Linked DNA regions of Ovis aries. The protein of the gene in region 1 interacts with the protein of each later gene in a biochemical or structural test. Links are inferred from orthologs where the notes say so. Each region holds a gene or a part of one and is shown in the gene's direction. Other genes may lie near its edges.

Evidence for each region.
Region 2: the proteins of BCAR1 (region 1) and CRKL interact in a test that uses a peptide from one of them, tested with the Homo sapiens proteins (2 studies listed by BioGRID, with this or other methods). The link is inferred for Ovis aries from reciprocal best matches to the Homo sapiens genes BCAR1 and CRKL.
Region 3: the proteins of BCAR1 (region 1) and PTPN1 form a complex in vitro, tested with the Homo sapiens proteins (3 studies listed by BioGRID and IntAct, with this or other methods). The link is inferred for Ovis aries from reciprocal best matches to the Homo sapiens genes BCAR1 and PTPN1.
Region 4: the proteins of BCAR1 (region 1) and PTPN12 form a complex in vitro, tested with the Homo sapiens proteins (3 studies listed by BioGRID and IntAct, with this or other methods). The link is inferred for Ovis aries from reciprocal best matches to the Homo sapiens genes BCAR1 and PTPN12.

Annotation. Positions count from the first base shown.
Region 1 is NC_056067.1:2,076,300-2,083,927, reverse strand, and holds the start of BCAR1 (breast cancer anti-estrogen resistance protein 1), read left to right. Parts: upstream 1-3,507; 5' UTR 3,508-3,511; coding exon 3,512-3,736; intron 3,737-7,628. UniProt on the Homo sapiens protein: Docking protein which plays a central coordinating role for tyrosine kinase-based signaling related to cell adhesion. Implicated in induction of cell migration and cell branching. Involved in the BCAR3-mediated inhibition of TGFB signaling.
Region 2 is NC_056070.1:72,320,980-72,328,541, forward strand, and holds the start of CRKL (crk-like protein), read left to right. Parts: upstream 1-2,668; 5' UTR 2,669-3,070; coding exon 3,071-3,381; intron 3,382-7,562. UniProt on the Homo sapiens protein: May mediate the transduction of intracellular signals.
Region 3 is NC_056066.1:78,580,353-78,587,182, forward strand, and holds part of PTPN1 (tyrosine-protein phosphatase non-receptor type 1), read left to right. Parts: intron 1-3,265; coding exon 3,266-3,366; intron 3,367-5,653; coding exon 5,654-5,752; intron 5,753-6,830. UniProt on the Homo sapiens protein: Tyrosine-protein phosphatase which acts as a regulator of endoplasmic reticulum unfolded protein response. Mediates dephosphorylation of EIF2AK3/PERK; inactivating the protein kinase activity of EIF2AK3/PERK.
Region 4 is NC_056057.1:45,188,848-45,196,269, reverse strand, and holds the start of PTPN12 (tyrosine-protein phosphatase non-receptor type 12), read left to right. Parts: upstream 1-2,405; 5' UTR 2,406-2,845; coding exon 2,846-2,944; intron 2,945-7,422. UniProt on the Homo sapiens protein: Dephosphorylates a range of proteins, and thereby regulates cellular signaling cascades. Dephosphorylates cellular tyrosine kinases, such as ERBB2 and PTK2B/PYK2, and thereby regulates signaling via ERBB2 and PTK2B/PYK2.

The DNA of each region.
Region 1 (7,628 bases):
CTGCAGCCTGGCAGAGGGGCGGGCCACTGGGGTGACTGTGGTGCTCTGGGAGGAGCCCGCGCTCTGCCAGCTTCTTCCGGCCCATCCATCCAGCAGGGTCCTCTCCTTCCCGGCCACGCAGTGCGCTCACCCTGCAGGGCTGGCCTTCGTGTGGGAGGGGCGCTCCTGGGCCTGTTCTGAGGTCACTTGTGTCTGAGGATGGTGCTTGGGTTTCACATACTTGTCCTTTGGGGCCTCTGAGTGCGGCAGGGTCCTTGGCTTCCCTGGGCACCCGTGTTCCTCGACCTCTTTTCTGCCCTGCAGGTCCTGAAGGTGCTGCAGGGGGTTCAGCGTGGGCTGCGCTATAGCAGCCCCGCCGGCCCTCCCTTCCAGGACTGCACTCTGGGGGGGGGCAGGAGGGGCAGGGGAAACTGGGTCTCAGCCTCTTCATCTGGAAAATGGGGCGAATTGGGAAGCCTGTTGTGCAAGATCACGGTGGGCACGAGATGAGCACGTGATCATGGAGGCCTTAGCCCAGTGCTGGCCTGAGCGCTGTCCTGGGGGCTGCGTCCCTTGGCCGTTGGCCTGGGAGGGTCTGCTCCCCCACAGACCCCGGGAGCTGCCCAATGGGCGCCCCTCCCCCAGTTCCCAAAGGCAGGCCTGGGAGGGGGCACTCCGCTACCCCTTCAACCCCTCCCCTTCCAGCACACTGGGGCACAGATCCCGGGCCTGGATTCCAAAGCGGAAATGCCATTCTAGGAGGCACAGTCTTGGGGGGAGTGGGGAGTTTAAGTGGAAAAGAAGCAAATTTTTGAAATGCCTGGGCCAGAGCTGGGTTCTCCTCCCCCGCCTGCCCGCCCACTTGAGCAGCCCCGCCCCCGTTTGGCTTTAATCCGGTGGAGGGAGGGTCTCTGGTCTTCTCCCTCCAGGCTGCTTCCTCGCTCTCCCAAGGCCAGCCTGACAGGGCTGTCCCTGCCCACCTCTGTGGAGACCTACTGACTAGCTGTGGAGCCTGGTCCCCACCCTACTCCCCACCCGAGTGGAGACCCCGGGGAAAACCTAAGGACCCCCTCCACTCAGCATGGACAGATATTCACTCACGACCGGCTGCTCCGATGTTTCCTTGGAAGCGGAGGTGCCAGTCAGGCTGAGGGCAGGGCAGACCCACGGCTTCCTTTCTAACTTTGGGGCGTAGCCTTGGGAACAAGCAGGAGGGGACACCCTTAACATTCCCGAGAGCTGGCTCTTCTGTGGGGAATGGAGCTGTTTTGAAGAGTACAGGGGGGCCAGTCCTAAGGCGGGCATACGGTGGCAGCTTGTCCTGTTCCTTCTTGAGGACTCTAGGTCCCCCTGTGTGCAAACCTTGCTGCTCTTCACCCACACACTATGCTGAGAGTTTCGTCCAGTGGTTCCCCAAGCAGTTTTGGGGGAAATGCAGATGTCCGGATTCCTCTCACTCCCAGTTTTTCTGGAGGAGGGGACCTAGGAATCTGTTTCTGAACAAGCTTTCCAAAGGATCTATGACCAGCCAGACGTGGGGCATCCTAGCCCAGCTCCTTTTTATAGATTAGGGAGAGCCTGCCCATGGTAGCACACCTGGAGAGGGGCTGTGTCAGCCTGGGTGTCAATGGAGGGACACCTTTGGGTCTTCCTTGGGCTTGTACTACTGTATTTTATAGGCCACGCCCGAGGGTTCTCTACAGGATATGCCCTGCTGCTTCGCTGGCATTCTGAGCTGCCTGATGGTGTCTGCACACTCAGCAGGTGGCTCGAGAAGGCAGCCTGTGGGAGAACCCCAAATGTGAGGCGCGGGAGCGTCCAGGTCTGGAGCTGGCTCCTTCCTAGATCTCCCTGCTGCAGCCCTGGACCACCTTCAGGGACGGTCACAGCTTGTCTGCTGGGGAGGGGAAGTTCAGAACCATGGTGCCCTCCAGTCAGCTTCCCTGTAGGGCTTCTCCCTCCCGGTCATTCCCATCAGCATCCCTCCCAGCTCCTGCTGCTGAAACAGGGGAGTTGTTAGGCCAGAAGAGTCAGCCCTGGACAGGGCTGACTGAGGGGTCTGAGTGGGGGCAGAGGTCCTGGGGCAGCACTAGGGAAGCTGGATTCAGTTCGGAGAAGGGGTAAATGGACAAGCTTCTTGTCCCCGGTGCGCTGGGGCCTCCTGCACACTGTGGCTTCTAGAACACGATGCGCTCCGGGCCTCCACTCCCCGCGTTACCCACGGAGACAGCTGCCGTCCCCGGATTCCCTGCCTTCCCCGGCGTCCTTGCCGTGTCTTCACGTTCTGGGGCTCTTGACACCACACGCCTGACCAGAGTCGGTGCGGTGGTAGTCGGAATCTCAGTTTTCTGCCAGCTGGGGCATACTCCTCCGGGTGCAGATCTGAGTCGGACTTGTTGGATGGACGCGTGTGAAATGACCCTCGCTGGCAGGCGGGGAAGGCTGGCGCCTCCGGGGCTGCCACGGCCGCAGAGCAGGAGGGCAATCCCGGCAGTCTTCCCGGAAGAGGAAGGCCACGGCCTTTGAGGAGGGGCGCGCTCGCCCTCGGTGGAGGGCAGGGACAGGCCTTCGGAGCGCGGGGCGGGCGGGTTCCCGGAGCCCCGCGCAGTCCCGGCCCTGGGGGCGGGGCCGGGGGCGGGCCCTGCTCGGCGCCCCGCCCCCGGCCCGGCGGGGCATTTGCATGGGGGCCCGCGTGGCCAATGGGTGCGCGCGGCCGGGCGCGACGGAGCGGGGCGCGGCGGCGGGCGGGGCGAGGAGGGCCGGCCCTGGGCGGCGGCAGTGGCCGGGCAGGCGCTGAGGCGGCCGCACCGGGGCGCGGGAGCCGCGCGGCCTCGGGGCGCTCGGGACCCCGCGAGCGCGCGGCGCGAGCGGTTCGCTGTGCGCCCCCGGGGGGAGCCCAGGCCCACCGGACACCATGAACTACCTGGTGAGCTCGGCCGGGGCGCGGTCCGCGCACCCGGGGCCGTCGGCCGAGGCCCCCCGGCCCTGCCCGCGCCCGGGCGGACCCGGCGGGCCCGGGCGGGGAGGGGTTAAGTGAGCGGCATTTCCTGCCGGACCCGCGGGTCCTGGGAACGGCCGCCGCGGGGGCGTGGGGCCGGGGTCCTGCGAACCCCCTCTGCCCGGCCCGGGCTCGCGAAGGCCGGGGCTGTGGGCGACCGCAGGCCCCGCGCGCCCGCGGGCTGCTGGAAGGACCGGGTTCGGGCGCCGCGGGCCGCAGGGAAGTTCCTGGATCCGGGAGAGTAGCTGGCCGGAGGCCCGCTCCCGCCTGCCGGCCGCGCCTGCCGGGTGACCTTGGGCCTGAGAGCCGGGTCTCCGAGCCCCCCCCTCCATCGCCCGGAGCAGCGACCCGGGGCCCCTTGGGCCGTGAATTTCCAGGAGGCGGGGTGGTGCTCCCTGTGTTTTGGGGGGACGGTTGCCCCTGCCCCAGGCTAGGGATCGAGGGCGCCGGGAGCAAGTGCGTGGTCTGCGGAGAAGTTAATAATTAACCTCGGTCGCCAGCGTTGGACTCCGGGATCCGGGGCGGGCTCCAGTTATGGCCTTCGTTCTCTGCAGAAGCGTTGTGGGAGCTGGACGGTGGACAGGCCAGTCCAACCCCACGCGGCGGTCCCATCCCGGTCCCTCGTCTGCGCTGGTGGAGCCTGCGAGCCGGGAGGGGCGCGGCCGCCACTCGGGTGGCCGCCACCTGGGCTTAGGTGCCCGGGTTGCTGCTGCGCTCGGCAGAGCCCCGGGTAGTGGTGATGGTTTCGGAGAAACTGAGGTTTGCCGAGGCCTGGGGGAGGTAGGGGAGCGTGAGAGATTAAAGTCCGGGGAGATGTTGGGGTCTCCCATCTCTAGCTGGTCTTGAGAACAGGGAGCTTGTTTTCTCCCCAGCCTTAAGACTCTCAGCTGGGAGGTCCTGTCCGGGTTTGCTGTGCCGGTTTCAGCCAGGCCCGGAGGTATTCCTCATCTCCCCCCACCCATGACCGTTTCCTTTCCAGGGTGGGGAGCTGATGCTGGTGTGGAGGGACGTGTCAGGGCTAACAGGCCTGGAAAAGCAGGAGAGGGGCCTGAGTGCAGGTGGAGCCTGATGGGAAGGGAGTCTGGGAGGAGCTGTTGGCAAGCCCTTCTGGCACTGGCACCCGCCACCCACTTGACCTCAGCGAGGGGAGAGTCCAGTGGGTGCAGGGTGGAGGCAGGCTAGGGCAGTCTCCAACTCTGCCAGGACGGTCAGCCTCAGCTCCAGAGAGCTGTACACTTGCGCTGCAGGCTTGCCCCGTCTGCCCAGGCTTGGGCAGGAACTGAAGTGAGGGCAGTGCCCTGGGGGTCCTGCCCGAGTGAGAGAGGCCACTGCTCCCTCCAGGTGCAGATGGGGGCACTGAGGCCAGAGAGGGACGTTACTGTCCTCAGAGCTGACCCAGGGCGTAGTCTCCTGGTGTGGCCCAGCTCGTCCATGTGCTCCCCTCACTCTGGGACTGGGGGGACTGCCAGCTCCGTGGGGTCTCTCACTGGCTCCCACACTGTGCCTTAGTGGCCCCCACCTGTCATTCTTTTAGGGGTCCCAGCGCCCGTTTTCTCTCAGCCTGGAGAGCTCTCCTCCGTCCCCCAGGAGCCCACAGCTGGCTGGGGCAGCTAGAACCAGCCAGCAGGTGGAAGGGGGTGGGGACAGTGCTTGGCGGGCACTGGGTCATTCTCCGGGAAGACACTGTCCAAGTTCCTCCTCTCTGGGCCCTGAAGGCCCCAAGTACGGAGCTCCAGGGTGGTCTCCCTCCAGGGGGCGGGCGGGAGAGCCCCTGACTTGACCTGCTCCCATCTCTGCCTGGGGAGAGGGACGAAGTACTGGCTGGCCTGGAACGGGCTCAGGGTGGAGGAGCTGGGCCCCGTCTCAGACCCCTTTTCCAGCACGCACCCTAGACACCAGGGCTCGGGACCTTTTTTGAGCTGGAGAACTGTGCTCTTTGTACCAGTGTGTCTCCCTCCTCCTGCTGAAGCAGGTGGTGCTGCTTTAAGGGCTGCTGAGGGTTACCATTTAGGACTGGAGAGGGGGCTTTGAACGCCGAGGTGGGGAAACCAAGGCGTTGTAAGGAACAACGCCTCTGCCGCCCCACCTGGGCTGTGCCTCTGTCTCTGCCCCTCCAGTGGCAAACCTGGGGGGTGGCCGTGGTGGCTTCCCAGGGCCTGATGCTGTCCGTGAACTCAAGGTCAGCCTGTGCTGGCCTCTGCCAAGAAGCCAAATCCTGAGACTGAACAGGCCAGACTGTCCCAGCGAGTCTGGGGTCTGGGTCAGTTCCCTGGGCGGGTGGCAGTGGTGCGGAGCTCAGGGTGCGAGGACCACTCCCAGCTGTCAGCAGGTAGGTGGGCTCTGGGACAGTGGGCTCTGCTCTCGTCCCTCCCCAGGGGCTCCTCAGTGCCCGGGGCCAGGCCCGCCTCTCCCCACCATCTGGTGTGCTAGAGGCTGCAGGCCATGTTTGCGGCTCGAGGACCCTCCCTGCCCAGCCGCCAGGGTCCGTGCCTGGGCTCCCTGCCCACGGCCTTCTTCCCGCCCAGGACCTGAATGCGGAGGCTCTTGCTCTTGCCACTGCTAACCAAGGCCGGGTCAGGGCTCCTGCTGGCCATGACCCCCCACAGCTGGGTTTCCAGTCTGTGTCTGTGGGCCTGTTCTGGCTGCTGGGGTCAGGGCCTGGGGCTGAAGACCCACACCCAGCCCCTGCTCTGCGTCTGGGGCTCGGGCACTGCCCAGTAGGCGGGGAAGGGGGCATGCCTGCCTTGTCCCCGCGCGTGGCTCTGGCGCAGGGTCTCACCCGTGCTCCTCACGCTGGGCACTGAAGACCTGAGCCCAGTCCCTGAACTCTCAGCTGTCCTGGGTGACACCAAGGCCAGCTGTTCCGGAGTTCTGTCCGAGATGAGGGTGTGGGGACCCCTGGAAAGGTGAGGGGCTGCCCTCCTGAACCCCCCAGCCCGGAGCAGAGCGGGGGCTTGCCAGGGCCCTGGGCACGGGGCAGCCCTCCTGGGGGCGTCCCAGGGCACAAGTGAGCTGTGGGTGTGGGCTGCGGCGGGGGCACACACACGCTTTGGCTGTATCCGCTGGCCACAGGGTCTCCTTGGGACAAGCAAACAGAATACCCCAGAAATAATCTTGGCCCACATTTGAGACGGCCGTGTATGAAGAGAACCAGTGTTTGCCGAGTGAGTGCCGTGTGTGGGGCTCTGTGCTCGCGGCCTGGGTGTGTGTCAGGCAGGGATGGGGGGGTGAGCAAGGCCTGTGAACTTTACGCCCTGGATTTCGTGGACCTGACCAGTGCCCTGGGGCCTCCTGGCTGCACTTTGCCACACAGCTCAGGGCCCCTCTGCCACGTCCTGCCCGCGACGCTGGCAGATCAGGTAACGGCTGTGCACCTCAGTTTCCCTGTCTGTAGGATGGGCGTAGTCCTGGTGTCTCGAGGTGAAGGAGATACTGAGCGTGCAGAAGGGCTGTGTCGTCAGATTGTCACTGTGAGCCTGTCAGTCTCTCAGCCGCCAGGTAGCACCACCCCCGAGTCTGGGTTTGGGGACCCCTAGAGCACACCCAAGACTCTCTGGGGCAGCAGGTGGAGGGCACACCCATCCGACGGGCACCAGTCTCCCGGGCGCATGCCCAGTGGCGACCGTGGCCCAGCTGCTCCGCGCCCTGGGCCCGTGGGTCTGGCACACACAACGAGGGCCATTCTCACCCCAGGCCGGCCTGCGGGACAGCCTCTCAGCTCCCCGTGCAACAACCAGGCCGTTGTCCTGGGTGCGCCGATGGCAGGCTGTTGACCAGGGAGTATTGCTTCAGGCTGGGGGTGCCCCTCTGTCCCCTCCCTCTAGGGTGAGGCCGTGTCAGGGGGCTGACCTGGCTTCCTCGGGTGGCTCCCAGGGAGGCCAGGGCACCGCCCCCTCCTGCGCCTGGCAGGTCAGCAGCCCCAGGTTCAGCCCTGCTTGTGCGGGGGTCCCCTGCTGAGAAGGCAGGACCCCCTCCCCCCTGCCGTCCTGGATGCCCAGGTTGGGGGACATGAAGTGGGCAGTGATAAGGGGTGTCAATTGGCACCTCAAGGAGGGCGCACCAGGTGGTGGGTGCCCAGGAGAGAACGTGGTAATCTTCCGGGGGGTGGTGACACCTGAGTGGCATCCTGAAGGAGTAGGATTTAGCGAGGGGCTCCCCAGGTCAGGAGTGAGGGGCCAGAGGTGGCGGCTGCCATCCCCGTGGTGCCTGGATGCGGGTGGGCCCCTGTGCTGTGCCCTCCTGGGGGCCCGGCTGTGCCCCCTGGGGCTTATGAAGCCTGGCAGTGATGGAGGCTGGCGGGCCAGGTGCTGTGCCCTCCTGGGACCCTGGCTGTGCACCCTTGGGGCTCGTGAGGCCTGGCGGTGACAGAGGCTGGCGGGCCAGGTGCTGTGCCCTCCTGGGGGCCTGGCTGTGCGCCCTTGGGGCTCGTGAGGCCTGGCGGTGACAGAGGCTGGCGGGCCAGGTGCTATGCTCTCCTGGGGGCCTGGCTGTGCTCCCCTGGGGCTTGTGAGGCTGGTGGGCTGGGTGCTGTGCCCTCCTGGATGCCCAGCTGTGCACCCCTGGGGCTCATGAGGCCCAGCGGTGATGGAGGCTGGCGGGCCAGGTGCTGTGCCCTCCTGGGGGCTCGGCTGTGCGCCCCTGGGGCTTGTGA
Region 2 (7,562 bases), on another chromosome or scaffold:
TTATTAGTATCGAAGTAGCAAACTAATGGTGGGGGAGAAGATAACCAATAAGCTCCTCTTTTGTGTTAGGGAGAAAAATTTGGAAATAGACATGAAGCATGGGGGAGCAGTGACGGAGAACTGCAGGGTGAGAGGGCGAGGCGGGTCTCCAAGGATGTGTCTAACCCAGGCAGTGGTCAACCAGGGCTCGTGGAGACCACGCCTGAGAACCCCCGACCCAATCAGGTCAGCGCGGTGAGCGCGCTTGCTGCGTCTCCCCGTAACACAGGCAGGCCTCTTCTACCTTACTGTCTTTGCCAGCAAAGAATCTAGGGCAGGAAGAAGGGACAGACACTGTCCTCCCGGGTCCTCAGTAAGGCAGCAACCTGGGAAGACCGTCCGGCCTTAACCATCGCTTGCAGGGTTGGACCAGACAGGGGAGAATCAGAAGTCAGTGGGGCGGGGTGGGGGCTCCCCTGGTGACTCACTGGGTAAAGAATCTGCCTATCAGTGAAGGAGACGTGGGTTCGGTCCCTGATCTGGTAAGATCCCACAAGCCACGGAGCAGCTGGGCAGCAGCGGCACAACCACCGCGCCCTGCGCTCTGGAGCCCTTCCCTGCAGCAGGAGGCACCGCAACGAGAAGCCCGCTCGCCGCAAGTGCAGAAAAACCGTGCAGCCATGAAGACCCCGCACAGAAAAGGGAAACAAACACATAATTAAAAAGATTCCTCGGTGAGGGGACTTCACTGCCGGCCCAGTGGCTGAGACCCTGTCTTCCAAGGCAGGGGCTGCGGGTCTGATTCTCGGTTGGGGAACTAAGACCCTGCATGCCACGTGGCGAGGCCACAAAAGAGAGCTGGCGTTGAATCCTCAGTACAGAGGCAGCCTCAGGGACAGGAACCCTGGCAAGTTGCTGGAAAAGCCTTGTCAATTGAGTCTAAACTAACTATCTTAGAAGAGAGTAAGTACAATGCTACCTGGAAACCTCGGGAAGAGCAAGCTAGAGCAGAATCACAAATCTTTTTTACGTTATGGCCCCTTTTTAAAGCTTCTTGTCGTTTGTCCCCTTCATTTCCATTTCATTACCTCTTAGTGGCTAGGCTGTTTTTTTGGGGGAAAAAGTTTTTAAGCTTGTTTCAGCTGTGCTAAGGAAAAATAAGAAATTACTTAATTATTTTTATTGTGAAAAAATCCAAACATACACAAAAGTAGAATAATGTAATTAATAGCTCCCCCCGCCACACACACACACACACACACACACACACATTAGCAAAGCAAGCAAAATGGACTAACTTATAGGCAATAATTGTGTAACACTGAAATGAGTCCTGGACTTCAAAAGACCTCCCTGAGTGCCTCTTGCAAAGCATACAACCTATGATAACTTCTCTGAGATATAATTGTGTATCTTTGAGATGCTCACTAAACATTTTTTTTGTATTTAATTTTGTATCTATATGTAAACTTATGGTGATGATAATCAGTTTATGATGTAAGCAAGTCAAGCCATTAAGCTGTACACCTTAAACTTGTACAGTGCTGTATGTCAACTATCTCTCTATAAAACTGAAAGAAAAATTAATATTAGAAGATGAAAAAAATATGACAAGGAATGATACAGTCAACTGGTAAGTCAGGTTAGGATTGGAACTCAAGCCTTCCTCTTCAAATTCTGAGCTATTCAAATTGTGCCCGAAAGTAACACGACGCGAAAGTATTTGGAGGGAAGCTGAAAACCTGCTTTGCTGAGTCACAAAAGGCCCTAGGCCGTGACGATTCCCCTTGAGTTTACCCGGAAGGAACGTCAGCCATCACGCTGCGACAGTGGTCCCCAGCATCCTGGGCGCCAGGGACCCTTCCGTGGAAGACAGTTTTTCCTCGGGGCGGGGGATGGTTCAAGCGCATTCCTTTCACGCTGCACTTTCTTTCTGTTATTCTTACATCGGCTCCACCTCCCGTCATCAGGCACTGGGTCGCAGAAGCTGGGGACGCCTGCCCTACCTACAGTGCAGGACAGGCTCAGCCCAGCAACGAGATCGGCTCCCCAGGAGTCTAGAGCCGGGCTCCGATGCCCCTCTGGACAGGCGCCTCCACCGGCCGGCGGGGGCGGGGGCGGGGGGTCCCCGACAGTCATTCATTCCGCCCAGGTCTGAGATCAGCGTAGGGCGGGGCGAAGAAGCGCCAGGCCCAGGGCTGAACAAGGCGCACCAAACCCCGCTCCCGTGAAACGGACGGTCCGGCGCGGACGGGGGTGCGGCCAGGGGCCGGGGCTTCTGCGGCGGGGGTCCTGGGGGGGCCAAGGCGGCAAGGGCTCCGAGAGGACGCGGGAGCTTCGCCAGCCACCGCCTGAGCACCCGCGGCGGTCGGCCCCGCCACCCCCTAACCTGGCCGGCCCGGCTGCGCACGGCCCGGGGCCGCGCCCGGGGGCCGGGCCTGGCCCGCGCCGCCCGCTTTGTTCCCGGAGCGGGCTCCAGAAGCGCCGCCTCCCCGCAGCGCCCCCCGGCGGGCCCGGGAGGGAGCGCGGCGCCGCGCGCGGGCGGCGCACGCCCGCCCTCGCGATTGGCCGCGCGGCGTGACGTCACGGGGCGGCGCCGGCGGCCGCCGGGAGCGGGCGCGCGCGCGTGCGCAGTCGCGGGGCGCGGGGGGGGGCGGGGGAGGTGGCCGCCGCTGCGCCCGCGGCCGCCATTTTGTTGCTGTGGCTCTCGGGAGCGGGGCAGGGCTCGGCGGCCCCGGCGGCGCGGCGCTCCCGGGCGGTGTGCGGCTCGGCGCGGCCGCGGGGCTCGGTGCGGAGCGGCGGGGACGCGGGGCCGGCCGCGCGCCGGGGCCAGGGCTGAGCGGAGGCGCCGCGAGCCGCCCTCGCCGCGCTCGGCCGGGCCCGCGCCCGGAGCCGGCTGGGCCCGCGCGGCGGCCCCGGAGCAGGCCGGCGGCCCGGAGGATGTTGCGGGCCCGCGGCCGCGAGGAAGGCGCGGGCGCGGGCCTGTAGGCGCGCGGTGAGCCCGAGGCCCGGCCGGCGCGCAGCCGCCGCGGGCGGGGCGCCCCCAGCGCCGGCGAGAGCGGCCCGCCCGGCCCCCCGCGCGCCGCCCGCCATGTCCTCCGCCAGGTTCGACTCCTCGGACCGCTCGGCCTGGTACATGGGGCCCGTGTCCCGCCAGGAGGCGCAGACGCGGCTCCAGGGCCAGCGCCACGGCGTGTTCCTCGTCCGCGACTCGTCCACCTGCCCGGGGGACTACGTGCTGTCCGTGTCCGAGAACTCGCGGGTGTCCCACTACATCATCAACTCGCTGCCCAACCGCCGCTTCAAGATCGGGGACCAGGAGTTCGAGCACCTGCCGGCGCTGCTGGAGTTCTACAAGATCCACTACCTGGACACCACCACGCTCATCGAGCCGGCGCCCAGGTGCGCGGGGCCGCGGGGCTCGGCGCGGCGGCGCCGGCCGGGGGCGCCGTGGGTGAGGGCGGTGCGTCGGGCCCGGCAGCTCGCGCTGCGGGCGCCCAGTTGGAAAAGGGGCGCTTTCTGCCCTTCGTCGCGTCCTCGGTGCAAATTACCTGCTGAAGCAGGGCGTTGCTCCCGGTCTTGCAGCCGGTTTGGGGCCACGGGTTGAGACTCTGAAGCTAGTCTTCGGCTCCCCGCCCCGCGGGCCCCTCCCTGCCCCCCGCCCTCCCGAGTTTGCACCGCTTTCAGGGTCTCTGAGCTCCGGGGTTGGACCTCCCGGACGGCAGCCTTTGGAAACTCTAGAGATGGAAATGCCTTCGCAGGTAGAAACGAAATGCCTTTACCTGTGAAATATCAGGGCCATATATTGATAGCCTGGTGCCAGGGTTGAAATAAGCCAGGCGTCTGTTTTATAACACATTAACTGAAAATACTGTAGAAGAGGTCGGCTTGAACGAGGAATTTTTTTTTTTTAATAGATTTCCCCCAAGCTGGGCCTTTAATGGACTGGAAATCCATTTGGTTAAATTCCAAGGTGGAATGAGTCTAGACTGTTACTAAGAGGAAATTTTGAATGACACTCCACTGAAGATTCTACGCTAGTTGAATTTCAGATGTCCTTTTTGTACTGAGTTGCATGACTTAGTATCTATTTTAAAATAACCCAGAGTGACACTGAGCATTGGGCATCCCTTTTCATTTGGGCTTCATTATTGGCCTTAATATTTTGCTCGAGGCTTCTTTTGTGCAGATTATGCAAAACTTGAGCTAAAGAGATGGCGTAGGGTTTTAAAAATAAAAGGTATTGATCTTTTCAAGCGTCTGCTTAGAAAGGACAGGGTGCTAATACAGGTTTTTTTCAGGGTGAGATGGTTCTGACTTGATAGATCTGCTGACAAGATAGTAGTCTCAGCTCTGAACATGAGAAGCTGTCGTATTAAAGGGGGACGCACTGGATGCTTCTGTGGACTAGAGGTAGAGAAGAATGAAGCCCTCGCGGTGTAATGACCAGGAGGTTAACTGCTGAGCTAAATGGACTTTAAAAGCTGGGAGACAGGGATTATAAATCAGATACTGCGTAACAAAGGCCTAGCCGCGGCGAGTCTGACTGGCGAGGCCTCCAGGTCCCCGAAGAGCCTGGGAGCTAGAGGCAGCGCTCAGCACAGTGTGATTCCAGCGTGAGAGGCTGGGGGCTCTCGGCTCCCGCAGTGGTGAGGCTTCAGCTGCGTTCGCGTAACTGGCTCTTCTGGCTTGTGAAGGTGACTGAGCGCTCTCTCGGGCACTGACTGGGCCTCGCCGCGCGCCTCAGTGCAGCCGTGAGGGAGGGACTCGAGCCCCTCTGGGTGGAGAGAAAGGGGCGCGGCCCTGGCTTCCCAGTGCCCGCAGCCGCCACCCCCAGCTTTCCCTTCGTGCTGCTTCCCAGATGCCCGTCCTCACCCTCTCCCGCCGCCTCCAGGGAGCCCGCGCTACACGCCCACTCGCGCCGGAGGACCTTTGCTCGGGCCCCACCCGCCCCTCACCGGGCGCGCCTCCCTGCCCTTGGGGCCTTTCCCTGGCGCTGCCCCCGCCTCCAGTTGAGCTTTGCTGTTTCTCCGCCCGCTGCCCCGGGCGTCCCGCTGCCGTCGAGTTTTCCTTCCCCTGGTGTCTCCGAGGGCTGCCGCTGCCCCAGTTGAATGAGATCCTGGCAGGATTCACTTGGTCACACTGAACCTGGATCGCCTCTCCCGGAGCCAGAAACCCGCGGATCTGTGTGATGCGCTTATTACTCAGCTAGTGTAGAAGACAAGGCCGGGCCAGCTTTGGCCAAAGGCAAAAATCAGGGCCGTGTGCTTCCACGCCCCAGGCAGGATGGATGAAGTGGTTAGGCTCTTTCAGGCCTCAGAACCGAGCTCCTGAAGCCAGAGCTTCTGCGCTTTGGCTAATAGTTATTTTTTGGGGTTCATTTTGCTCAGTAAAAAGTGACGACTTACTGGCTTCCTCAGAATTTAAGGACTGATCTCTTTTTTTTGTTGGGGGAGTAGCTTTTTTTTTTTGGCCGTGCAGCGTGTGGGAGCCAAAGTCCCTGGCCAGGGACCAAAACTGAGCCCTTGGCAGTGGCAGCTGGGGTCTCAACCTCTGCACCACAGGGACGCCCCCTTAACTTCACAGTGTACGTCCTTGTCCAGACATTACAGGAGAGTTAATCCCAGGGATGCGTACTGGGAGAGAGGGGTGACGTGCTTTCTCCATCATGGGCCTTAGATGTCAGTGAGGAGACAGGCTGGAAAGTAGAGATTTAAGTAAAAGACAGCATTGGTCGGTGTGAAGAAAGTCCACGTGGGCAGGGGGTCTAGCAGGCGGGGCTGACCTGAGGCAGGAGGGTCAGAGCAGGGCTGAAGCCAAGAGGGCGCCCAGGGTGGGGAGCCAGCCGCGCCAGGGCCGTGGCTCTGCAGAGGCAGCTTGAATCGGCTGCTCAGAGGAAGGAAGTGGGGTGCCAGGGGGGAGTTTGCAGTCAGGAAGTGACCTGGGCCATTATTGCAATCCAGGTCACGGTGATGACGATTGGTGAGCTGTCCGTCCGTCCGTGCGTCCATCTGTAGTAGAGACGTTCCGCAGGCTGACTGGCAGGGCTGACGGACGGCTGTGGTTTGAAGACGGTTGCTGATGGGAGGGGAACGGAGAGGAGGAAGGAAGAGGCAGATGACTTGGTGTGTTTGCAGCTGCCTGTCCTCTGGGTTGTCTTGTTAATTTTGCCTTTTGAGTTGCACTATTCAGTCCTGTCTTGGATCTTACATTTAAGGTGTGTCAGTGGCTTCTGGTTTTCCAATGACAGATTTTAAAGGATTCTTTTTCCGCACACGGGTGCAGCTTGTAGGCTGAAGCTTGTTGCATAAACAGACACTTCACCTCCATCTTACTTGAGTGTGAACACTTCCAAGATTCTGTTAAGTTCTGTTCAGTGTTAGGTAAGTGCTCCTGGGTTTTTCTTTCCGTTTTAATAGAGGCTGTTTCCAGTTTAACAGCAGGGTCCAGTTTCTGAGTGGGTTCAGTTTAGAGACAGTACATTTTCCCGGGTCTAGAAAATTGGAAGTGTGCTTTGCGTAGGTCGCTTCTCTTATGAAGTTTCCGGTTCCAGCTCGTGTAGCTGTGTGATGACTGGGAGGAGGGTCGTGAGGAGCAAAGATGGGAAAAACAGAGGCGAGTTGGCTCATAGAGGCACCTCCCCACCCCCACCCCCCTGTTTTGTTGCTCGATAGATATTGCTGAGAGCACGCTCTGGTGGTACAGATCTGATGTTGCTCAGCACTCCCTGTCAGGCTCTTCTGGAGCTTCCTGGATGCTGACTTTAAAGACCGCGTCCTCTGATACAGGCAGCAGCTGTGCGAGGGCCAGAAAGGATGCCCAACCTCACCTGAGCGCCTGCCCAGAGGGGACGCTCACGGCCGCCAGGCAGAGGCCACGCCTTCTCCCACGGCCGCAACCTGGGTGTTTAAGGGGGCATTTGGGCTCGTAATTAGGAGTAGCAGGTAGGAGAGGAGCGGTAGCTGATTTCAGTTGACATAGAATTCGGCACTATGGGTAACCTTTGAGTCTCTTCTTACCGGTAGCTTAAATCCCCTGAGTTCAGTTTAGATGGGAACAGAACTGTTGTGACGCTGGATGGAACCTCAGCCAGGCGGGAGTTCTGTCCCCGTGGCGCCTGAGTGCTGACAGCCGTCTGACCTGTGACCCTTCTCTCGTTTGAGACTTGGATTCAGAGGACGTTTTATAGAAGAATGATTCTCTTGATCTGAACTGTTGGACTGGATTATTTTTGAGGTTCACTCGGGCAACAACGTTTTCCTTCTGATAAGTAAAAGGAGGCAGTGCTCTGTTAGTGGGAGTCCAGATAGGGCCTCCCCAGCGAGGTGGGGCCGCTAGTCGGGGATGCTGGCGGCGCAGAGACGAAGGGGCCCGGCAGCAAGCCCGGTGGCACACGGGGTTTCCTTGTCTGTGGAACAGACTTACCGGGGCCTGGGGGAGAGGCTTCCCTGTGTCTGTGGCGGTTTAGTTTCAGCAGGAATCTCAGTGTGTTGAGGCCTCCTCCGTCCCAGAGCGCGAGACTGGACTCCAGCCTCGTCATGGAAGTAGACCGTGACCTTGCCGCCGAGCTCAGCTCCCTGAGG
Region 3 (6,830 bases), on another chromosome or scaffold:
GACTTGATTGTTTCCTATGATGAAGGTATTAGAGGCTTATAGTAATGGTTCATTTTTCCACCCATGGAGGAGGGATAAGGTTTCAGTTTCTAGAAAATTCAGCGAAGTTCAAAGCGCTTTTCTTAGCTTTGACTATTTTAATGATGAATCATTTTCCTACCAGCTGAGTGTGTGTAATGGCAGGCGTAATATAAGCCCTTCTGGGTGACTTGGTACTGTTGGGCCTGAAGCATTGTACTGACGGGTAGTGATGCCCTGCACTGGCACAGGTGGGGGTGAGTGAGGCACTCACCCACCACCTCAGCTAGAGACACAGTCGGCTCTGCTCGCTGACCTCACCTCCCCCCAGGTCACCCCCTCCACCATCACTGTTTTTCTGGCTCTTTGCTGCCCTTAGCTCTCAGTGTGCCTGCTGCTGGCAGCCTCCTCTGCCTTCTGAGTAATTGGCTTTCAGTCCGTTGATCCCTCGAAAGTGAATAACTGTGTTAGAATCTGTGTAAAGTGAGAAAAACTAGAGAGGAGGGAAGGACTGGAACTTCACCGCCTCCTCTAGGTCACAGAGAGCCTTGGGACTCACCTCCACGTGGCGTCGCCCAGCAGTGAGGGCCGTGGCTGCAGCAGCTCCACAGCAGTGCCCTCTGCCGGGGACGTGACGATGCCGCCAGGCCCCCGAGCAGACCGGTCCCACCGAAGCCCGCTGCAGGGGCGGCTCCTGGTGCCCTCCACGGGAGAGTGGCAGTGCCTCCTGCCAGATGGTGCGGTGCCCCAGGCTGTAGGCTGGGGAGTGAATTAGACCTGGGCTGGCGCTAAGCAGTCTACTTCCGACAGCTGCCGCGGAGCTCTGCCCCTCTGAGCTGCATGGCCTCAGGCGGGTTGCCCTCTCCTCTGATCTTCAGTCAGACCAGAGTCACAGGGATCTCAGGACTGGACGCAGACGGAAGTCAGGACACATCAGTGCTTAGCCCCAAGTCTCACTCTCAGTGTCGGCTGTGGCTGAGACGGCCAGGAGCTGAAGTGCCCGCTGGGCACGTCCGCCACGCGGCTGGGTCAGGTGACACAGGATTTTGCCCCAGTGCCTGATTCTCTTGATTTAGCACTTCCAGGCTATGGCTTCACATAGATGTCATTTAAGAATAATACTGATGGCCTCTTCTCAGGGAATTCTGCCATGAGGCCCTGGCCAGCTGCCCTGCACTGGAGTCACCACCGCAGTTCATACCGCACGCTCGTGCCCACCAAGCCCTTGGTCTAGAGCCTTTGCTGTACTCGCTCTGAATTAGCAACAATATTATCTTTCATATTTCTTTTCTGTGTTTTCGGTCAGTATTCATCTAAGTTTGTAAACCAGCTTTACAGAGAAAAAAAACAGCATTTGAAATATTCTTCCAGGGATACAATTCCCAAACTTTTTCAGTTCAGTTCAGTCGCTCAGTCGTGTCCGACTCTTTGCGACCCCATGAATTGCAGCACACCAGGCCTCCCCGTCCATCACCAACTCCCGGAGTTCACTCACACTTGCGTCCATCGAGTCTGTGATACCAGCCAGCCATCTCATCCTCTGTCGTCCCCTTCTCCTCCTGCCCCCAGTCCCTCCCAGCATCAGGGTCTTTTCGAATGAGTCAACTCTTCACATGAGGTGGCCAAAGTACTGGAGTTTCAGCTTTAGCATCAGTCCTTCCAAAGAAATCCCAGGGCTGATCTCCTTCAGAATGGACTGGTTAGATCTCCTTGGACTCCTTGAGAGTCCAAGGGACTCTCAAGAGTCTTCTCCAACACCACAGTTCAAAAGCATCAATTCTTCGGCGCTCAGCTTTCTTCACAGTCTGACTCTCACATCCATACGTGACCACTGGAAAAACCATAGCCTTGACTAGACCAACCTTTGTTGGCAAAATAATGTCTCTGCTTTTCAATATGCTATCTAGGTTGGTTTTAACCAGTCTTAACTCCTTGCATTTTTCTCCCCTACCTCCACTCTTCACTAGAGAAGGTAATTTGCTTTTAAAGTTATGAAGGAAATGGGAAGAATGTTTCAAGGTAGAAGGTGATCCTGGTATCTTCCGTTTGGCAGGTGAAACACTCAGCACTCAGAAGATAAGTTTCTGCCCGAGGTCACCACCCAGTGCTGTGAGGCCGCTTATGTCCATGGCCCATTTCAGTATCACCTGAGTATTTCAGTGTGTACTAACCCTCTGTGATGAGAAAAATTATTCCAAACAATGGCTAATCTACTAAAACATCTCTTTGGAACGCTTTCAAGTAGAAAGCCGCTAACTGCTTATCCGCATTAAGTTTTCCTTTCTCTCTGGGCAAGGGGAGAACTGTTTATGGGCCGTCAGCTGAGTTTACTGTCCCTTGTTTGTACCAGAAATAAAAACACCCACCTGCTCTTGTTAATGGGCCTGGCAAGATAAGGAAAGTTGCCTTCAGGAAAATAGGGCTTTTGTGACAATGTGGTAAAGAGGAGAAGAAGCGGCTGTGGTTTTTTAGTAACCTGGGGTAGACCTTTCAAATGCAAGTGTATTTCTAAAAACTATTCTGAAAGTTACTTTTAATATATTTTTAGTGTTGTGTTTTGGATTCAGAGTCTATGTTTTCCTGTTAAACTCTCTTTTAAGTGTCTTTGATTGTGACATTTATGTTATACTTGAGCTTTTTTAAAGACAACCTTGTATCAAGGAATTCAGGGTATGAATTTTCACACTGTTGTATACTTCAGCCATTTAATCTTGGAAGCATTAGGCACAGGTGAGCCTGAGACGCGATCGTAAATGAACAGCTTGGTTCATTGTACCAACTTGAACTCTGGGGACTGGGTGGAATATTGGTGGATTTTGTTCCCTTTTAAAGATCAAAGCCATTGCATTTTTTACTCATTAAAGTATGTTTTAGGCCTCAGAGAACAGATTCCTTGACATCCCCCCCCCCCCCCCCCCCGTCTTCTGAGGTGTGAGGACAGTAATAAATATTATAAGACGATAAAGCCTAAAAACAGATTTCCCAAACAAGAATTAATCTGTGTTTTAGTGTAATTTGTTTCTGTTGCTATTTTGTATCAAGTTTCAGATACTTTCAAAAACCTTCTGAAAGTACTTGTTGTTCCCATTATTGGAGACACTAATTTAATCTCAGAACAGTTTGGACTCAGCCAGTGTGAACACCCTGAGCACCTCACTCGCCTTCTCTGCTTTCCCCATAGGGCGCATCGCCTGTGTAAGCACTTAAGTCCCCCTGGATTAACCTTGCATTCTGGTTTGCCTTTCAGTTGATCACAGTCGGATTAAACTGCATCAAGAAGATAACGACTATATCAATGCTAGTTTGATAAAAATGGAAGAAGCCCAAAGGAGTTACATTCTCACCCAGGTAAACAGAGTCTGAATTTTTCTCTAGTGGGTTTTGCCTCTCTCGATGTCAGCCAAAGAGTTTGACAGTGCCGTTATCCACGCCTCACATAAAGTCTTTCACATCTTTTAGAAGACCAGGTTTCTAACCCAAAAAAGCAACATGGGAGGGAAAAGTCTTCCTTCAGAGATTCAGTCTAGTCATGACATGAATCTTTTCTGGGAAGTATGTCATTGCTGGATTTGTAGACAACAGCAGTAGAGTGCCAGGGTTGTCTAGTTTGTTGACAGAGGCAGTAGCTAGAGAAGACGGTACCTGTGTTGAGTCCCTAAGTATTTGCCTCAGGGCATCAGAGCTGGTTATGGACACGTAAGAGGGTTAGTAATAGACCAGAAATCTTTATCCAGATGGCCTTTCAGAATTCCTCTGCGTGGTCCTCATTCTTTGGGGGTGGAGGGGTATGTTAGGTTATGTGGAGAAGCATACAGAATGACTTGAAACTCCCCTTGGTTTTTGGCGTCTTTATGGAAAAAGAAATCACAACAGTGGTTTCATAATTGGCCTTTTGTGAAACACTGGTATATGACCCAAAGACCACCGGAGTCTGGGGAAGAGGGTGAAGGGGTCTCTCTTAACCGATTTTCTCAAGTCATCATCTCTTACTGGTACATTGATATACACAGTCTAAATCAATCTCTCTCTCTCTCTCCCTCTCTCTCCGCCCCCCCTCAATCCTCATTTCCTCTTTTCTCTTTCCATGTCAGTTTCTCAGTCTTATATTAGGTTGGGTTCTAGGGTGACTGTGAACATCACAACCCTGTCTAATATTCGGAGGCTAAAATGGCAGTGAAGCTAAGGCAGCACAGTGACCAGAGTCTGCTTTGGAGCCTTTTCTTGGGGGCCCTTCTTGACTGTCCTTTTGTTCTATCCGGGTTCCTCTCCACACATGACCAGAGTCGGCCCGACACCCACCCCCAGGCATTGTACGGAACATCAGTCCCCAGGCCCTCAGCCGTGGTCCTCCCAGCCCTCTGGGGTTGGGGTGAGGGGCAGGGAGACCTTGGTGGCAAGCTGGTGGGAAGAGGTTGTGGCAAAGTGGCTTCTTGGGAACTTCTGTTTTAGAAGTGGTCAAGTTTCTTACTTCCTGATTTCAGCCGTTCAACTTGGTCTGGGGTCAGCAAGCCCAAAGCAAAGATAGGGTATATAAAGTCAAACGGGAATTAGGAAATCACCATGAAAACTTTTACCCCGCTGTCCTCTCCACCCCAGCACCCTCGCAGTTGCTTGGCACATCTGAAGTTCCGTCTGTCCGTCAGATCGCACCCCAGATGTATCCAGCTGCTTGCTGACATGGTCTCCCTCTGCCCTGAGATTCACGTAAGGGGTTCAAGCAGCCTGGCCCCAAAGTTGCACCGCTGGACAGTGGGACTGAAATCATTTCCATGCCACAAAACCAAGAACACAGTGCCCATTTTTTCAGTGTCGTTCATTAAGCAAAGAATGCAAGGCTCTCGCCTCACTTTTTAAACCTGTAGAGAGTAATGTCACGGATACTGGCCTTCACGCCCACCTTCAAGTATTGGCTGTTTGGTGTGTGTCCTTTCAGATCTTCCATGACTTTAGTCCCTCAGACCCGTTCTGGACTGGAGTGATGTTTGGGGCCAGTGGCACCACGGCCCTTGCCCACCCCCGGCTATCTGTGTGCCCTCATCTCTTAGGTCCCGTGCTCCAAGGGTGAGGGGAGTCTGTGGTCGGATTGGCCAATAATAGTAGTAATAATGATAGCTTACACTTTGTAGGGTATTTACTGTGTTCCGGGTCCTGCAGAAAGGTGTAGTCAGTCTGTGACCATCTTCCCAGCCCTGTGAACATGTGCTCTGACGATTAGAGGCTGGGCGGAGGAGCTGCGGGAAGGGAGGCAGGTGGCTTGTCCGAGGGGTGTGCGGGTGGGGCCCTTCCCCTCCACCGCTCATCTGCAGCCAGCAGTGTTGTTCGCTGTCCCAGCCGCCCTGACGCAGAGATCTCTGGTGCCCTTGCTCCAGCCTGCCCAAACCAGAAAGCAGAATCAGTGTTTTCTCTCCTCTGTCATTCAGCTCTGAACCAGCTCTGAGATACGGAAGTGACTTTTCGCTACATGGTAGAAAATAGAACTGTGGTTACTGACCGCTAGGCAGGGAGAGGCAGGTCCTGGCCTCAGCCACGGCTTCCACGCTACCTGAGGGCGCTGTTGTCCACTCAGCACCGACAGCGAGCTCGCACCAGGACGGGTTTGTATGTAAGATGCACACATTGTGAATTGTGTTTGCAGGGCCCTTTACCCAACACCTGCGGTCACTTCTGGGAGATGGTGTGGGAGCAGAAGAGCAGGGGCGTCGTCATGCTCAACAGAGTGATGGAGAAAGGATCGGTGAGTTGGAGCTGCCCACGCTTCACGCCACTGTCCGTGCGGGTGCCAGTCCATTAGGGCGACGTTTGTCTGTTCATTTCCTCAGGTTGCTTTAGATTTCTGTTAGAAAAATCCAAAGAAGCAGTATGTAATTACATGCTTATTGTAACCAAGTCAGATAAACAGGTGAGTTTAAAGGAGAGAAAGGTTGAGCGGCCCTTGCCCTGGTCTCCACCCTACCCTGTCGGCCGGCCTGCCCAGCGCCTGGAGCGTGAGCCCCGCTTCCCTCTCCCCTGTGCTTCTTGGGCTGTTCTGCTGGCTTCGTGCAGCGGTGCGAGCAGAGCTTCACTTTGGGAAAGCAAGTTCCTGCCGTGCCTTGACCGTGCCTGCCCTCTCTGGTAAAGTGCCCCTTTGCACAGCCCAGCGGTGAGAGCGACTGGAGGCAGAGCGGGCCCTGTCAGGTCCGCAGGCGCTGGGCCCCTGGTGTCTCCCTGGCTGCTCCTCTCACAGGGACAGTGTCTGCTTGCGCTTCCCTTCCGGAGTGTGGGCCTCGCTTCTGAGGACTTTGCAACGTGGACCTGTTTGTTAGGCCACCGCCTGCCTCTCCTGTCTCTTCTGCCCCTACATCCAGAGCGATCTTTCTAAACCAGGTCTCCCCCACCTCTTGCCAGCTGAAACCTTCCTGGGGCTTGTGCGCCTCCCAGGACATATGCTGGACCGGGTACAGCTGGGCCCTCGGTGGCCTGGGCCCCGCTCTCTCCCTTTATCACCCTTCATCAGCCAGAGCAGACTTACTTTATTAAAAAAGAATTTTTTTTTTTTAAGTCTCTCACCCCTTCTCTGGACTAATGACCTAAATCACACTCGCCCCCTCCAGGTGCACGTGGCTACCCTCAGGCCCGCGTGGCTGTGCTGACCTCCCCTCACGTCTGAGGGCACAGTAGGTGTCACGTCCTCCTCCCAGGCTCCTGCCCTCTCCCCAATGCCCACTGCCAGCCGCTCGAGGCTCCGCAGCCTCCGACATGGAGGCCCCAGGGGAAGAGAGCCAAGGAGCATGGAGGCCAACGGGAAGGGGGGGCTGGGCCGGCGCTGGCACCGT
Region 4 (7,422 bases), on another chromosome or scaffold:
ATTAACGCACTCACACACATGGCCAAATTGGGCTTCCCTGGTTGCTCAAGAATCTGCCTGCAACGTGAAAGACCTGGGTTTGACCCCTGGGTTGGGAAGATCCCCTGAAGAAGGGAATGGCAACCTATTCCAGTATTCTTGCCTGGAGAATTCCATGGACAGAGGGGCCTCACAGGCTACAGTTAATGGGGTATGGAGTTGCAAAGAGACACCACTGAGCAACTAACACACACACACACACACACACACACACACACACACACACACACAAGGGCAAACTGCTTCCAAAGATGGTGTGCCAGTTTCTCACACCATCTGTGCAAAAGTCTCCATTTGTCCAAAGCATGCACAGCCTCGTGTTCTGTCAAACTTTCTGATCTCTTCTAATCTGGTAATTTTAGTTATTTTAAAATTTCACCTTCTTTTTTGCCCACTAAGTCAGTCACTGAGTTCTGTGAGTTCTTTCATTCTCATCTCCTTCTGTGTCTCTGTAATTGCAATGCTATGATCTTAGTTTCAGCTTTTGTTGTGTCATTTATTGCCTCCTAATAGTGTTCATTCCAGTCTCTCCCCTTATTACCTCACAACTTACTCATACACAGCCAGAAAGACCTGAAATCCATAAGGGTACTTTAGCTTTCCCTAACCTACATGAGATGCCAAAGGTAGCTGCTGAGATTTGGAGACACTAGTGTTGCAAGAAAGAGAGAGAAGCTTGTAATAAGAAAAGTTAAAAACAAAAACAAAAAAGCCCCAGCAAAACCATCAGCCAAAATAGGGCTGGATAACTCAAAACAAGTCAACACTTCCCACCCCACTGTCACTAGACTGATACAGTTTGTCCAGCATATAGTCTTTATCAATCTGATTTGCACATTCTTCTGACATATCAAAAGTAGAGGCAGTCCTGATCATCTGCCCATTTACGGCTCACACTCTAATTCCTTGCCTAGTTCTAGGGGAAACGGGTACTCTACAGTGAGCTATACTGGTGGGTGAGCGAATCCAGATCTTAATCTTTTCTCATATCCAGTGAGTCTCAATAATCTGATTAAAGTAAAATACTCCAGATCCTTATTTTAAAAGCTCACCTCAGAAATTAAACTATTCCTCTAAGGGGACTCTTTTTTTAAATACAGGACAAAACTGTATCTTTTTATATCCACATACCTGTATACAAATGCACAGGAAGACAATTGGAAGGACACATCTGGAAGTGGTTCTTTCTGAGAAGAGTAGATTTGTATGTATCAGTTGTATTATTTTAAAAAGAAATATTTTTCTTTAAAACAAATAGGAAATTGGATCTTGCTACTCACACCTGTTTTCTTCAAGTTTATTATTAAATTCCACGGTGCTTCTAAACATTCATCTGGGAAACGGGGCCTGCTACTGATATTTATTTTAACCAAATTGCCTAACCAATCTTATCCGGAAAAAGCATTGTTTGTGGTATAGTGAACAAAAGGAAGTGACCTAGAGAAGTTCATGGATCAGGTCTTTCACTTCAGTCACATTATCACGTTTACGCTCCTTAGTGAGAGGTAACATGGTGCTGGTGAGAGAAAAAGGATCTGAGTTCCAGTTTGGGCTCTGCTAAGAATATACTGGGGGACCATGAGCAAACACTTTCATTGTAAAATGGTGAATAAGACTAGGACAGATTTCTTTGATTACTAGAAGACTTACAAAGATGCAGTCTAGGGTGAAAAATCTATTATTCAGTTCTGAGTTGCTCCGAATCTAAAGGCAAGAAGACAAATTCTCTCCAATTCAGCAAACGTGTGTTATGTATTAGGACCACTGTGAATCTCAGGCGCTCTTTCACCAGGTTTTAGACTGATTTGCAAAAAAGCAAAAAAGTCCTCTCACTGAAGAAGCGTTTCGTTTCTCTTGGCCGTGGCCATTGCCCAAAGTGCCAAGATCTAATTGCCGTCAACATTAAGATGAAGACGTACCTGCTGCGAACGTGAAGACACTACAGTTCCCAGCATGCCTCTCTTCCCACCGCCGCCCTCTCCCGCCCCTACTCCTGGACTCTTGCCGGGCCGGGACTTGCAGTCCCAGCTCAAAGCCGGCGGCGGCGCGAAAGCAGTCTAGAAATGTACTTTTCCCACAAAAAGGCGGTGAGACCGCAGTTTCCAATTCAAGTCCTACTCCAACTGACTAGCGTCTGTCCGGCGGAGTCAAATTCCCTCCAACCAGCTCTCTTCAGACCGGCAAACTGCTGGGGCGGAACCACGCCCCGGAAATGAGGTCAAGTCCCCCAGCTGACGGCTGAAGCTCCTTCCAGCCACTCCTAGACGGACTAGGACAGGCGGGGCGGGCTTGGGGGCGTGGCAAGCGGGCGTGGCTCAGCTCGGCGTAGCCCCGGGGATCTAGCCGCTGCGCGGGGCCGCGCGTCTGGGTGGCAGCGGGGGCGCGCCCGTGGAGAGTGGCGGCTGCGGTTGCTAGTCTGGAGGGAGGGAAGGAGGAACCGGGAAGGGGTGGGGGGGGCAGGGCGATCGGAGAGCCGTGTTCCTAAGGCGGTGGCTGCGTCTCCGACGGAGCAGGAGCAGGGCGGGGAAGGAGGATGGAGCAAGCTGGGGGTTGGGGTTGGCGCTAGCCGCTGCGGCTCGTCTACTACTGTGGGAGAGTGGCTGCTCCTGGAAGTTGTAGGATCGGGAGCCGGGCTGGTGCCGCCGGTGCCGCCGCTGCCTTGGGCGGTGGGGAGGAGCAGGGAGCGTCAGGGGTCGGGAAAGACGGGACGGGTAGGGGGCGCGAGCTGGGGAAGACTGAGCGGGCTCTGCGCCGGGCGGGCGGGCGGCGGGGGGGCCAGCGACCGCAACCGGGGGGACGGGGGAGGATGGAGCAAGTGGAGATCCTGAGGAAATTCATCCAGAGGGTCCAGGCCATGAAGAGTCCGGACCATAATGGGGAGGACAACTTCGCCCGGGACTTCATGGTGAGTCCCTCCCCTCGCTGTTGCCTCCTCTCACCGGCATCCAAGCCCACTGCCTCTTCGCCCGCCCGGCCCGACCGCCGGCGCTTTGTGTGCGGCTGTAAGGAGAGGGGCGGAGGGGGCGCGCGCCAACCCCAAGGGCCGGGGTTGACTCGGAGGCTGGGAGGTGAGATCGCCCCTCGTCCTCCTTTCCTTTCGTCCTGCGATCGCGGCCCCTTCCGCCCGCGTCCGGAACGCGAAGAGAGGCCGCTGGCCAAGCCCGCACTTAGCGCCGCCGCCCGCGACCACCTATTGTTTCTCGGGCTGGGAGCGGGAGGCGAATGAGGTGCAGGCCGGTAGGCTCTTCTCATCTCCCCATCCAGTCTGCTCCTCCTGGGAGGGTCGAGGCAGGAAGGAGAGCGGATAGCGCCGACTGAGGAACGGAGCTATTAAGGTTGCATTTAACTCGTGGGGTCCCTTTGCTCAAGCTGGTCTCAAAAGAGGTCAGGGTAGGACTTTTTGCTCTTTCTGGGTTCGCAGTATTATCTCCAATGCAAGAGAAAGGATAGTCCATAGGAAATCTCGTGGAATGTTCGATTTCCATTTACTGCCGTCCTGTCTCTTGTCTCTTGAGACCCAGGTTTTAGATGGTGTAGGGGTCAACGTGATTTGAGGTTGAGGGATAAGTGTGTGTAGAGGCAGGGCGTGGGGGTGGAGGGTGCGTGGTTATCCCGAAGGAAGCCTACTTCAGACTCCCTAGGGGATACTGCCGAAGGCGGAGGGGATGTGACTATCACTTCCTATCCGGGGTGGGGGTGGGGAACTTGGGAACAATAGTCCTGGTGGGGCGGAGGCGACTGTACGGGCTGAAGCCCTGAACTGGGAGATAACCTTCGTAGTCTCCCCACCCCCCTTCCGACATCCCCCCTCCCCCTTCCGCCCTTTGCTTGTACTGGCGGGCTGGATAGGAGGTTAAAAGTCTTGGTCGTGGAATTGCTCTCGAGCCATCACTACGAGGGGGTCAGATCCGAAGGCGTGGGACCAGAAGTCGACTTCCTCCATTGCCACCCCCCCTCCTTTATTTTTCTGCTGGACAATGTTCCCTTTAGGGTTGTTTCTCGCCTTAGGAGGCGGTGGTTGCGGCGCTGCTCCTACGGATATTGCGCAAGACTGGGGCGTTGGAAACCCTGGAGGTCTGGGGAATGGAAAAGGAAGTGGGACTTTGGGAAGTGGTTGCTCCTTAGTCTTGGCGGGGTTTGGAAATGGGAAATAAGCTAGGGAAAATTTTGCTTCTGGGCAAGATTCACCTCCAAGAGTAGTCACCTAACTCTGAAATTCTGGATTGTGAAAAAGATACACAGTTAATGTGTATAAAAATGAGTCGCAAACATTGGCTAGTTTTTGTTTCAAAGTACAGTTTAATTGTTTACAAGGTGCAGGTGAAATGGCTTTTCGCACTGAAATACGAAATACTTTTCACATTTTAAAGAGACTTTGGTCTAGTAAAACTTTAGCGTTAACATTCTTAACCCTTAACTTTACTCAGTGTCATAACAGTATAGTTGAGCTTTGTGATTCCCGCCTCCCTAAACCAATAATAGAAGATAGGAGTTTGGTTTTGTTAGTATCTTTTGAAAGTGTAAAAAATGTTGATTAAATAATTTATGGTTTATTTTAAACATTTCCTCTTGATACTTAGCCCATGTATCTCCCCCCCCCCAATTTCCCTTTTATCTGAAAAAGTTAAAGATGTTTCCTTCTTCCTATTGGGAATTTTGAATGTGTTAGGTATCTTTGAAATGACATCACAGTAATTGGACAGAGTCCCCCTTTTATTACTCTCTAGCAAACATAAAAGAAAATATTTACTTAGATTTTAAAACTAGTCTAACACAGTCTTACTTTGGATGTGGAAGGAGAGGTGTGTGACCCTGTCCACTTGGCATGTTGGTCCTCTTGTTCTCTATGGACATATCCTGTCAGGAAAGGGCATTGTTTGCTGATGCAGGCCATCAGGACAAGTGCCCAGTCTCTGAACTCCTGTACAGGGGAAGTAGCCTTCGGGTTCATGCTTTGGGGATGAGTCAGGGATTCCTATTGGAGATTTCGTTTCTCCGGGACTAAATGAGTTTTCTTTTTCTTCCCTAATACCTAGGGATATCTAGGTGATTCTGCATTTAAGATTTGATGACTAAGGCTGTTCTTTTACAGTGCTTGCTTTTTTTATTCTGTGACTTGATAAGCAATAGCTATAATTAAATCTGCCAGTTATGCCTCTTTTTCTCTTAACTAGAAAGCTGGAGGAAAACTTTGTCCCCTCTGCCACAAAAAGAAAATATATTGGCTAATAGATTCTTCTAATAATAAACACTTCTGTAATTCTTAAATTCTGACATTTTAAAATTTTTAGCATTTGAGAACTGAGCCTTAGGGTAATCTAGCTATTATAACCCTATTCATTTATAAAGTGATAATGTTCATTGTTTCAAATTTGGAAATTATAGAGCAGTAATTAAGAATGCCTTACCTTTAGGAAAGTGGAATAGGCATTCATACTGTGGTTTTTCCATTGTTCTGTTCAGTCTTCCTGTAGTTCCATCACCCAAAGGCTATCTTTGTTAATGTCTTTAATGCTTCTCTGTGACCATACTACACGTACCATTTAATATTCTTAGGGTTTTTTCCAACTTAATATTTAGGTGTTTTTCCTTTGTAAAGATAATTTTAGGTGGCTATATAATATTTCACCTAGCCACTGTCATATAGCTTAACCATTTTCTTATAGTTGAAAGTTTAGGCCGCTGATTTTCTGCTATTATGTGTCATAATTCTGTGGAGAACACTTAAGCATAAAATTTCTTTATTTTGAATTATTGCATAAGATATCTTCCATTGGTGTTGGAAGTACTAGATAAAAGGATGTAAACATCTGAAATATGTAAATGAATAAGTTTTTGAAGTTGTATCACTTTTTACAACTAACAGTAATGTATGAGTGTTCATATAATAATCTTGGATCTTTGATAATTCGAGGTTGAAGAATAGTATGTTGTTTTAATTTTAATATTGTGATGACTAGTAAGAGTAGAGACTTTTCTGCCTGTTGTCATTCTGTGAGTTGTCTATTCCTGGCATTGGCCTTTTGTGTGCCCCATCCTGTAAAGAGGAGAATACTAAGGTATTGAGATGGTGTAAACTATAGCACCAAAATGATTTCAAGTTGATGGTTAAACTGATAATCTGTGTCAGATCCGGAACTTGGTCACAACTATCTCAGCTTGTCGTCTTTATGAAATTGCAGATAGTGATCATGAGAAGTAAATGTGTACATAGGGTGATGCCCATTTATGTTTGACATGTGTAGGTTTACTACCATCTCTGCCATTGGTTAGTTTTCTGACCTTGGCCACTTGCAAGAAAATGAATTGACCGAGTTCTTTCAATTTTAAAAGAAGATAAATGCTATCTACTTCACAAGACTGAAGTATGGGACTGATAGTTAGGATCTTCATCTAACAAATGATCATGCTGTCTTCAATATTCTCAAATGGCTGACTTATGTAGTCAGTTACATATAAATAGACATAGAAGGAAAAAAAGATGTCTGGGCTTTCGTTTTTCAGTAATTTTCTTTTGCTTTTTAAAGCTTTGTCATGTATAACTAAAGTATTGAAACAAGAAGTAAGTTTATTCTGATTAGGCTAAAGTTTATGTGATATACACTAGACATTTGTATATTTAAAAATTGTAAGAGATGACAGTAAAGCTGCAAGTAAATATGGCAGTTTCAGTTTAAAAACCCATTCTCTTTAAGATAAAAACAATACTTTAGTAAGTAGAGTCAGTGGAGCATTTCAAAACAGGATGCAGCAGAGGTGTGAATTACAGTACTTTTGTGAAACAAGGAGGAGAAGATTTATGCCCTGGAGAAGGAATGGCACCCCATTCCAGGATTCTTGCCTGGAGAATCCCATGGAGCCTGGCAGGCTACAGTCCATGGGGTCGCAAGAGTCGGACACGACTTAGTGCACTGCCTTACCCCAGAGATCCTGCCATATATACCACAAAAACCAAACATCCCCCAGTGACCTTGTCCCCACTGTTCCAATCACTCCCAGGTGGGAATTCAGGCACATGTCCACAGAGGTCACAGACAACATACATACGGTTCTGTTATGTCCCATATATTACCCTTTCATGTCCCAAGGAAGACATTTTCTCTTAGAGATTTTCATTTAGTGTATCTTTAAAAAACTTGTATTAAACTTGCCTCCATCTTTTTCTTGGGTAAGGACAACCCAGAAATGGCCCTTTTGTGTCTGTGATGTGGCCATTCACAGCTTTTCTTGATAGGCCTAGTACAGTCGTGAGAACAGGGTTGCTGTATGCTGAATGTCAGACGGTAGCTCTTAGCTTTACCTATCTTAGGTAGTTATGCTGTGCATTTTTTATTGGTGTACCATGTTTGATTTGTCCCTAATACCATTGAAGTTTTTCTGAGA